Drosophila melanogaster: one gene and its partner. The protein of the gene in region 2 interacts with the protein of the main gene of each other region in a pairwise test. Each region holds a gene or a part of one and is shown on either strand. Other genes may lie near its edges.

Evidence for each region. Proteins that work in one complex are often made in the same cells at the same time.
Region 1: the proteins of Phax (region 2) and CG3769 interact in a two-hybrid assay, tested with the Drosophila melanogaster proteins (2 studies listed by BioGRID).

What each region holds. Positions count from the first base shown.
Region 1 is NT_033779.5:9,433,662-9,437,342, reverse strand, and holds CG3769 (uncharacterized protein), read right to left. Parts: upstream 1,945-3,681; 5' UTR 1,834-1,944; coding exon 1,630-1,833; intron 1,519-1,629; coding exon 616-1,518; 3' UTR 501-615; downstream 1-500. Other genes in the region: RpS28-like (ribosomal protein S28-like), read right to left, coding at 160-390; scat (scattered), read right to left, coding at 2,428-3,681.
Region 2 is NT_033778.4:9,109,614-9,116,530, reverse strand, and holds Phax (phosphorylated adaptor for RNA export), read right to left. Parts: upstream 2,258-6,917; 5' UTR 2,184-2,257; coding exon 2,139-2,183; exon of another isoform or gene 2,081-2,138; coding exon 1,348-2,080; intron 1,293-1,347; coding exon 1,201-1,292; intron 1,148-1,200; coding exon 871-1,147; intron 813-870; coding exon 598-812; 3' UTR 501-597; downstream 1-500. Other genes in the region: Su(var)2-10 (suppressor of variegation 2-10), read right to left, coding at 80-208; Mys45A (mystery 45A), read left to right, coding at 2,660-3,136, 3,199-4,860; tsu (tsunagi), read right to left, coding at 5,049-5,485, 5,575-5,635.

The DNA of each region.
Region 1 (3,681 bases), on a different chromosome or scaffold from region 2:
GCCAGCCTGCATCCCTGACATGGCGTTGCCACTCTGTGGAATTGTGCTACCCTTAATTAAAAGTTTACTGGTTAATTGCAAAGTTGCTATTTTAAAATCGTTATAGGCTGATTTTCGCAGTTAGGTATTTTTTCTCAATTTTATTTATTCTGCATTCACCTAGCATATATCTTCAAAATTGCTATTGCTCCTGCTCGAAGATTGCCATGTCAACTCAGTGTCCTCGAAATCCACGATATCTCCCAGACGCACAGGTCCCTTGACCGTCCGCATGAATTGCATCTTGGGTTGATCGACCAGCTGCACACGAACTTCGGTTAGAATGCCTCGGGCTCCAATCCGATTGAGAATTTTTATGACACGAGCCTTGGAAGCGACAGGTTGGGGCATATTTTTTGACTAAAGTCAAACTAGCTGTGGTAATAAATTGATAAATTTAATGCTGAATTTTTTTCGAATTTTAACTTTCAGACCTAAAATGAACTCCAGACACTAAAAGTACAGCTTTCTAAACATTTAATTTAGGGGTATGTAACTTACAATATCAAATGACAGTTTTGTTTTGGATATTTTAGAATACTTTGAGGTACATCTTTGCTTAATCCCAGCCGCTTATTAAGTTTGAACACTTTCGAACTTTCCGCGCAGCAAGACATCCCTCATTAATCCTGCGAGTTCCTCGTTCTTCTGCGATCGGATCTCATCGATGACTAACTCCTTGAAACCAGGGTCCTTGGCCGGATCGGTGGTTTCTTTTAGCTTCTGCTTCTCTAGCTGCAGCTGCGGTACTTCCATTCCGAATGTGGCTCCAATTCGCTCCACACTTTGGGCGCCAGTATCACCAATTTTCGACCAACTGTCCGTTCCAAACCAAATGCACAGTGGTTCATTGAAGTCCACGACATGAGAGCGGAACGGATGAGCAGGACTGCCAAATCCCAAGTGACAAATGGTGTCCCTCAGGACCTTGGCCAACTTGGGCATCTTCTGGGAATAGAACAGCAATGCGCCACCTATGAGGTGGGCCATCGATCGCAAGCAGCGGCAGGTGTGCTTCCTGATAATAGGATCGAAACCAGAAAACACATCGTACTTCCCACCGACAATTATCACTGGAAAGGGCAGAGGGTCTAGTTTTTCCGAATCTTTGTTCTGCTGACCCACTCGCTCCACTGTTCGCTGTTCGAGGATTTCCCTAAGCTCCGGTGTTACCTTCTCCATCATCTGCTGCGCCGTATCCCTCAGTCCCTTGTATGCGCACTCCAAATCCGTCCAAAATCGCTGTGGCTGGGAGAGATCTAGCATAAGGATGACGGCTAGTTGCTGCAAACCATGTGTCCGCATTGGTACTTCCAGCAATTGCTCGGCATTGTCCAGGGAGCCCAGTTCCCAAACGTTCATCACCTGCGGTGACTTTCCACTGCCAATCCGTCGTCCAAAGCTGTACTCCAGTGCTAGAGTTGGCCGCGTTGCGTGTTCCTCGCGATCAAAGAACTTATTAATGGCCGTCGTCTTACCCTTAAATAATAAAAAATATAATATTTTTAAAAAGGGGTTTGTAGATTTTTAGTGTATAACTTTTTTGGAATATGATTTTACGTGGATTTATAAGTTGGATCCATTGCTTACCACACACTTGCTTCCCAAGACAAGAATTGTCCGCTCTTTGGGAGTCGTTGTGGCCTCCAATTGGCGAAGCCGCTGCTGCTCCTCCGCCAGTCGACCGGCGATGTCCTGAATGCTGGGCGTGGCACTTTCGCCGCCCTCAGTTCTCTTTACAAACATTTTTTGAAGACGCTGGTGCAGGCTATGAAAGATTAGCGGCAAGCGCATCGCAGGAAAAGGGCATAAACTAAACTACTGCGGTTTGTTTTGCATTTAAAACGGTTGCTACTAGCAACTGCGACTGAGTGGCAACTCTAGGCAATATCAAACTGACCGTTACTTTCACCCCTAAGTTGCATAAATTTGAATATACATTTGAACATAAAGGATAGCTTTAATTTTGGATTTCCTTTATTTATTGGTTGTCATCTGATTAAATTAAACATTAAAAAATATATATATTCCAAATAGAAATCCAGCTAACGATAATAATACTAAAGGAACAAGGGAATCGTTTACCGCCATTGATTTGTACGCATTGAAATTTGTTGATTATTTTCTATTCTTTAATCATAAGCCTTCCATCGACTTTAAGCTTAAGTGTTAAAAAAGTGCGCAACAAAAGAGATACATTTCCAATTTCCTTTTGCTATAGGGCGGAACATAAAAGTACAAGCAATGTACAGCGGCAAACAAGATAGACTGAACTGGACGCGACAATCGGTATTGTATAAATAAAACAAGGATAACAAACAATGAAGACGAACTAGGCTGGGCGGTCGGAGGATTTCCGCGGCAACCATATGGAATACTTCGGAATGCTCAGTAGAGCCAGATCTCCTCCAGAATCCCGTTGTCTAGCTGCTCGGCGGGCAGGGCTTTCAGTGTGCGCAGCGTCTCCATGTAGAAGGTCAGCTCTGATGTCACCACCCCGTGCTGCGGACCCCCATTGTTGTTCACATTCAACTTGAGCAGTTGTTCCCGCAGCTTGTCTTTAAAGTTTCGATGAACAACGCCGTAGATTTCGTGTATCTGTGCCTCCGGCAGCACACCGGCGATGGCCTCGTGAAGTTTCACCAGGTGACGCGAGATGTGACGGAATGTCTGAGAAGGTATAGGTGGTCTGGCTTCCCAGGCATCCAGTTGAGCTGCCAATCTCTCGGATACAATTCCGTGTATTTTATTCTCGATCTCCTTGATGTGACCCTGGTAGTCCCGCTCGATAGTTTCGTATCCGCTCATCGCTTGGAAATGCTCTTTCAGCTTGGGCAGTAGCCATAGAACTAGTTGCAGTGCTCGCGAAACCAGAGCCAGGTTGGTGCTCGTTATGGTTTTTAGCCCAGCAACTCGCATTGCTCCTGCTCCGATAATTAGTTGGCAGCTTCTTGAGTTGAAGCAGCGCAGCAGGTCCACCACATTCCTGGCGTGATAGCTGGCTAACAATGGCAGCCGATGTGCACTACAACCGTACTCATACAACATTCGGATGAGCATTAGCGAAGCGCTGACCAACGTGTACGGTTGTTTGCCTTCCACCAAGAGCACTGGGTTGCCTGCTCCATTGCTTATCAGATTGCCCATCTCCGGTTTGGCATAGTCCCCGGCGGCCATACGTTCGATTATTCTCTGAAATTCGTGCGGAATGTCTACTTGGCGCCAGCGCTCCTGATCCAGGAGTAAGGACAACTTCTGCTTTCGTTCAGAATGGAATCGTTGAGCATATCGGGAGGCTTGGACTTTGAGGGCCAGCTGGAGGGGCACACTGGCCACTCCACAAATGCTCCTTGTTGTCTCGCCAAAGTGATCCACAATCTCAGATAGTTGGAAAAGTTCTTGCTCGCTAGCTGAGCTCCTTTCCAGGCTCTGAGGGGACACAATGTTGGCACAACGCTCATGGCAGTAGTGGCAGACGGCTTGAAGCAGTTGTTGCAATTGGTTTTTTAGTTGCTCATGGTGTCCCGGACTCAAAAAGGCTTCTGAATCTATCAGATTCACTGCGTCCTGGGCTCCCACAGCTGCGTCCGCTGTTTGCTGCATTATACCAACTACAGTTTTAATTCTTTCGAGAATGGAAAC
Region 2 (6,917 bases):
ACTGCTTATCAATAACCATGGCCCCCATATTTATGAAAAATTCTTTGGACTGAATAAACTGAGACTGGCGGAAACATACCTTGTACTTGGTGGAATCAAAGGGATTAACTGCTATTGGCGCTGACGAAGTCGACTGGTGCCCGGGGCTCGAAGATGTTGCGGCATTTTCCGCCTGCGTGCGAGCCGTCTGAGAGCGGGTCTTTCGCATCACTATTATTTTCTATTCACGGTGGCGTTAGGCGTTCGGCAATTGAAGTCGCGGACTCGTTTGCATTTGCCTGGGACGCGCACCACACATAAAAACAAGCAATTGCCGCTGTTTTTCAACGAATGCGGAGAAACAAAAATATTTTACGCGGCGTCGTCGCTGTGGGCCGACTAGAGTTGACACTATCGATCGACACTGCGGAAATCTCTACCGCCTGGCCGAGTCTTGTCTCACGCAGCCCGAAAATGCCCTAACGCGTGCGTTTGTTTACTTTGTTAGCAACCGTTACTTTCGTAGATTCCTAATTCGCTAGGCATTTATTTAATTGTACAAATATGGGTCTATCTATGCAAGAATAGTATAAAAGGGGCCCGCCGCTTGGCGTGGGCCTAGAAAAAGTCCATGTCCCCGCAATTGACGTCCAGAAAGTCGTGGTCGTAGCTGATTAAATCCTTCAGCGGCGCTCCCTGAGCCGCCGCCGCTGCTTTGGATGTGGAGGGAAGTTCCGCATTGTCCACAAGATTTATATTGATCTCGTGGGTCCTGTACTCAGGGCTGTCGTGCTCCTGCTCAGCGCCAACAGGGGAGGGTGGCGGGTTGGACACTGAAATAGTCAAAATAGTCACATAGGAGATTTAACAATAATAATGGGATCTTCTTACAGCTGCCCGGTTGCTTATCTTCACTTTGCTCGTCGCCCTGCATGTAGTACTCTTTGCGCTGATTTAACGTCGGCAGTTCCGTAACCTGCTTGCTGAGGCACTTCTTCAACTCTTCCACCTTACGGTCCCGCATCAACGTTTCGATCTGCTTTCGAGACTTGCTCAGACTCTGGCGATCCTCACTAAAAATGCGCTTCTGCTGCTCCTGAGTGATGTTATCGTGGTGCTTTATTAGGAACAGGAATACCCCGCCTGGTGTACGTCTCCGTATGCCGTTCTGTTTCGAGGTATCGTGTTAGTATATTCGGGGGAACATCCTTTACTACTTACTTTGATCATCATGCCGCCATCGGCTTCAATGCGCTGAGTTTCCTTGTATAGCTCTAGGCACACATCTATGCCAAGAACCTCCACGACTCGAACTGGTAAAACTGGCATTATTTACTAAGTAGGGCATTATTTATTTCACATACTCACCAAGTAATTCGTCCTTTTCCTCGTACAGTTTGCTGGCCATTTCGGTAGCCACATCCGAAGGATCTCTCTCACCCACTTCGTTTAAGTCCAGAATGTGTCTGGGCTCGCAGAAATCGGAAGATCCGCTGGCCGAAGATGTCCCACGACGTGACCGGTGACCCGTTCTACTCTTGACCAAACCGCGCTGTTGATTCCCGGTGATGGGCCGACTAGAAGGTCTTCCCCTCTTGTGAGCTGGATGGGAGCATTCGCCGCCGTCCTCCGAAGAGTTTGAGAGTCGTCGCTTTAGAGTGTTCTCGCCGTTCAGCCGGTATCGCAATGAGAAGTCGTAGTTTTCAACATTTCGATCCCGACCGCTTCGGGTAACGTCGCAGCCACGCATATTCTCGCTGAGCGCATCCTCTTGCAGGGCAGAAGCCCACACGTTGTACTTCTTGAAACGGGCTCGATTCGGTTGCATTTCAGCATCCGTGGGCGGAACGCGCCGCATTACCGTGCGCCGAATGCGCTTTTTCCGCTTCTTGTGGCCGTCGGGTCCGGTGGATTCCGTACGAAGCTTCTTGATGCACCCGTCCTCGGAGGATTCGGCAGTCGAGGAGTCGCTGTTGCTTTGTGACTCGTCCTCTAACGCAGTCTGGATCTGATGGCAGGTGGTAAGGGGACTGGCCACCTTCTCCGCACCGTCAGGTCGCTGCAACGGCGTGTAAACGCCATCATCGTCGCTCTCCGATAGCTGAAAGGCCGGCAGATATGGTCATTAGATGCTCGGTAGTCTGGGTGCTTATGATTACCTCGCCGTCCTCCAGGTCAACGTCATTTGCGTGCAGTTCCATCATTTTTTTTATGGCGAGTCGAGAGAAAATCTTCGCCCAAAGTGCAGCTGTTTGTGCAACACTGAGCGGCAGAGTGACCATACTTACTGAGGATTACTTGGTGCATAGTTAAATTATTATGTTTATATTATTGGTCTTTAATAGTGCAAAGATGTAAATTAGATTAGCTCGTGTTATATTTACAATAATAAAAAGATCAGCGTAACTAGGTGTTACTAGGCAAATTAAGTTTTGCGTAATTTAATACTTAGGTGGGGGTGAACAACATAGCTTATATTAATTAATATATTTTTTTTATTGAATTATATGTAAATAAGACTAAATGTATTTAATTTAATTAAATTAATAAACATAGTTTTAGGTGAGGCATTTCTGCTATACCCACAAACGGTCACACACCACACGTGCGTTTACTTTGCGAACCAAACAGAACGTGGTTGAAAATAATCGTAGTTTTTATACTGTTATAACGGCTCACCATGGTGCGGCCCAACAACAACCAGCTGCCGGAGAACCTTCCGCAGTTGCAGAACCTCATCAAGCGGGATCCGGAGTCGTATAGCGATGAGTTCCACATCCAGTACCAACACTTTCTTAGCTTGCTGGAAGTTTTTGCGCTGAATCCCAGCGAAGAAAACAAATCCCTGGATGACATCGTCATGTTTGTCGCCCAGGTGGCTCAGTGCTATCCGGCCGTCTGCGAGGAGTTCCCAAAGCGTCTTTCCGATTTGCTGAAGAACTATGCCACCGTTCTGGACCCGGCTATGCGTAACTGCTTTGTGAAAGCTCTAATCCTGCTGAGAAACAAGAACCTAGTGCCCGCGCTGGACATACTGGAACTGTTCTTTCAGTTGCTGCGGTGTCCGGACAAGAATCTGCGCACCTTTCTGCAAACGCACATTGTGACGGACATCAAGAATATGAATGCCAAGCACAAGGACATGAAGCTCAATTCGGTAAGACGCAGTCGTCAGCTACCACTGTTGGACTCAATCAATATTCATTTATGTCTTTGCAGAGCCTGCAGGCATTCATGTACTCCATGCTGAAGGATGCCAATCCGAAGGCAGCCAAGATGTCCGCTGATATCATGATCGAGCTGTACAAGAAAAACATATGGAATGATTCTAAGACGGTGAATGTCATAGCCACTGTGGGGTGCTTCTCTAAGGTAACAAAAGTACTGGTCACCTCGCTCAAGTTCTTCCTCGGCCACGACGAAGAGGATGAAGAGGAGGACACTGACAGCGAGAACGAGGTGGACCTTAAGGGTGCTCTGATGGCCAATCGAGTCAATAAGAAAACCAAGAAGCGGACCAAGCAACTGGCGCAGATCAAAAAGCAAGCGGTGAAGGCCCAGAAAAAGAAAAAGAACGCTCCAGCCTTTAACTTCTCAGGCATTCACCTGGTGCACAATCCGCAGGGAATGGCCGAAGGGCTCTTTAAGCAGCTGCAGGCCACCAACGAGCGATTTGAGGTGAAGCTAATGCATTTGGACGTTATTTCCCGGCTGATCGGCATCCACGACCTCTTCCTTTTCGGTTTCTATCCGTACATAACACGCTTTCTGCAACCCCACCAACGCCAGGTGACACGTGTGCTCCAGTTTGCCGCCCAAGCGTCCCACGAACTGGTTCCCGGAGACATCATCGAGCCTATCCTAAAGACGATCGCCAACAACTTCATTACTGAACGCAACTCCAGCGATGTGATGGCCATAGGTCTGAATGCGACGCGTGAGATTTGCATGCGATGTCCCCTGGCCATGGGCGAGGATTTGCTGCAGGACCTGGCAATGTACAAAACGTACAAGGAGAAGTCGGTGATGATGGCGGCACGGTCGCTAATCACACTCTACAGGGAACAGCTGCCTGCCCTGTTGCACAAAAAGGACCGAGGCAGGCAGACAGAGGCCCAGGCCGAACGAAAGGTTCGAGCCTACGGAGAGCGCGAAGTCCACGACACTGTCTTGGGTGCAGAGGCTCTGCTCAAGGACTCTAAGACTATTGACATAGAGAGCGAAGACGATACGGACTCAAACGATGGTGAATGGGTTAACGTGGCGCACAGTGATGGTGAGGGTGGTGGAGCGGACGATGATGAAGAAGACGAAGATGAGGATGAGGACGATGATGACGAAGACGAAGACGAAGAGAACAGTAATGACGAGGAGAATGAGGATGAAGATAATTCCGACGAAGGCGTGGAAAGTGGCGAAGAGTCCGCAAAGGCCAAGAAGGAAAAGAAAGATATGAGGATCCTTAACCAAAAGGAGGCTGCACAGGAACTGGCTCTTACTCGCATATTCACGGACGAAGATTTCAAGCGCATCAACGCGGCTAATCTTAAGAAGACCGTAACCAGTGCCCGCAAGAGACCACTTGAACAGGATCGCGCCGAGTTCGTCAAGCTGAACAGCATCGAGATGATCTACAAGAAGCGCAAGCACGACAAGGAGTCGCGGCTGGAGACTGTGCAGGCGGGCCGGCAGGATCGCGAGCGCTTTGGCTGGAAGGATGGGCGCGTGAACGAGCACTGTTCCAAGACGAACCGCGAGAAGCGCAAAACCAAGAACTTTGGCATGCTGCGACACAAGGCTCGCTCCAAGGTTAAGAAGAGCTTCAAGGACAAGCAGCAGGCGCTGAGAAAACATCTGCTGCATCAGAAAAAGATGAAGTAGTACCTTCTTGCGTTTCAAACCTCGTAGTGCTTTAAATGAATACCAATATAAGATATATAATTCTAACCAATTGATTGTATAAAGGGTAGTTGGTAGAGTTATCTGATTTATTTCAATTCATATAGACTTTGTACGGTTGCCTATTCATTAAACTATTTTAAAAAATTATTCTTGGGGCTGGGAGTCGTTTATCTGCGACGCTTTTCGGACTTTTTAACGCGCTTCGGTCCCTTAACGAAGCACCAGTCAACCTGAATGGTCTGTCCCATTATTTCGGCACCGTTCAGGGCCTCTTTGGCGGCGAGCGCCTGCTTGTGGGTCTCGTACTCGACGAGAGCGTATCCCTTTGAGAACCCAGTACGCCGGTCGAGGTTCAGGTGAATGTTCTTGATTTCTCCGTAATCGCAGAACTTTTCCTGAATCTCGTCCTCCTGCGCCTCCTCATGGATAGAGGTGACAAACAGTATCCAGCCCTCGACGGACCTTTGTGGACCAGGTTCCAGCTCATCGTCGTCCTCGTTGCGCACACGCTCGTAGCTGTGGATCGCCTCTCGGGTGTTACTGTCGCTTCCAAATCCGCGTCCCTTGCGGTGCTTCGCCTTTTCCTTCAGGCGCACAATGCCCTCTGTTTTGAGCGTAGGGTGCACGGCGCGGCGTGGGAGAAAATAGAAAGCATAAGACCGGTGGATTACAAAGCCTGCCGCAGCTACTTACGGTCACCGTCCTCGTCCACCTCGAACTCCTCCGCATTGTCAATGTCCAACACATCGGCCATTTTCTTTTTCTGTGTCTAAAAAGCAGAATGAATGGGTTTATTTTTATTTCGTTTTCGTTCCGCGTCTGGCCAGTTGCAAAAACTCTGCTGGAGATGGCATTATCGTCAGTGTTGGTTAATTCCGTTAGGAATACTATCGCCTGGATGTTTGGAAAATAATACTTACATTGGCCACAAATGTTCCGAAAATGTACAATGTTTAATTAATTAGCTTGGCTTTAATAAAATATGTTGAAGTTAAGGGTAAATTGTATCAGCCAAAATCACCTTAGCAAAATAATAAGATCCGGAGGATTGGACTTTCAAAATACTTAAGTTCTCCCGTTCTTTTTTATTCTGTAACCATCTAAAGTAGACTTATTAGGTGCGTTTTATCCAAATATGTATTTTTCAAATTAATACTCTAGCTTTATAGGTTATAGGCATTGAAAATTCTTTAACATATATTTAACACATTTAACATAGAACATTTAAAGACGGAGCTAAAAATTGTGTGCTTAATCGGTCGGTAAAATATTTTTGTAAAACATAATTTGAGGGCACCATTAATTTTTATTAACAGCTGACATTCAGCGTATATTTTAAAAATAATAAGTTCGGTCCAGTACCATTTGAAAAGCGTGCATTATTACACTGCAGACGCTGTTTGTCCCAAACCTAATATTTTTATTTTTTTTATCCAATCCTTTTAGTCACTCGATTTTCAGTATTTTATTTATCATATACAAATATTAATGTATTTGAATAGAATGTCGAAAAAGTCGACTCGATGTATGCGATTTAAGATTCATGTATGCATCTACATATTCATTTCAGTTACCAAAATCTGAAATAATAAGGGTATGCAAATGCATCATAACCCACAATTACAATGCCGCATTTAATTCCTTCTGCGAGATTATATGTTACTTTGCTCATATTTTCAACAAACATAGGTCTTTATATAAAACAATCCACAAATAGTGGTTACTTGCAGCCTATAAGTCAAAAACCCATTCTCTGCCGTTTCCCATGCCAATTGAATTTAAAACTGCCTAAACTAAGAACTAGACTTGCTAGACAACTAGACTGTTTATATCTGCCCTGTGTTTAAAGATAAAAGTACAAATATTTTATTATTAATTTTCATATATAAACGTTAATATGCCATCGTTAAAAGACGCACTATCGCCCAGTCACGTTGTCATCTCAAACTCACGGCATAAAAAAAATTTGACCGGGGTCCGCTTTGTCAAAATTTGCCGTATGTTTATAAAGGGGCGTGGCAGACTGACTATGTGTA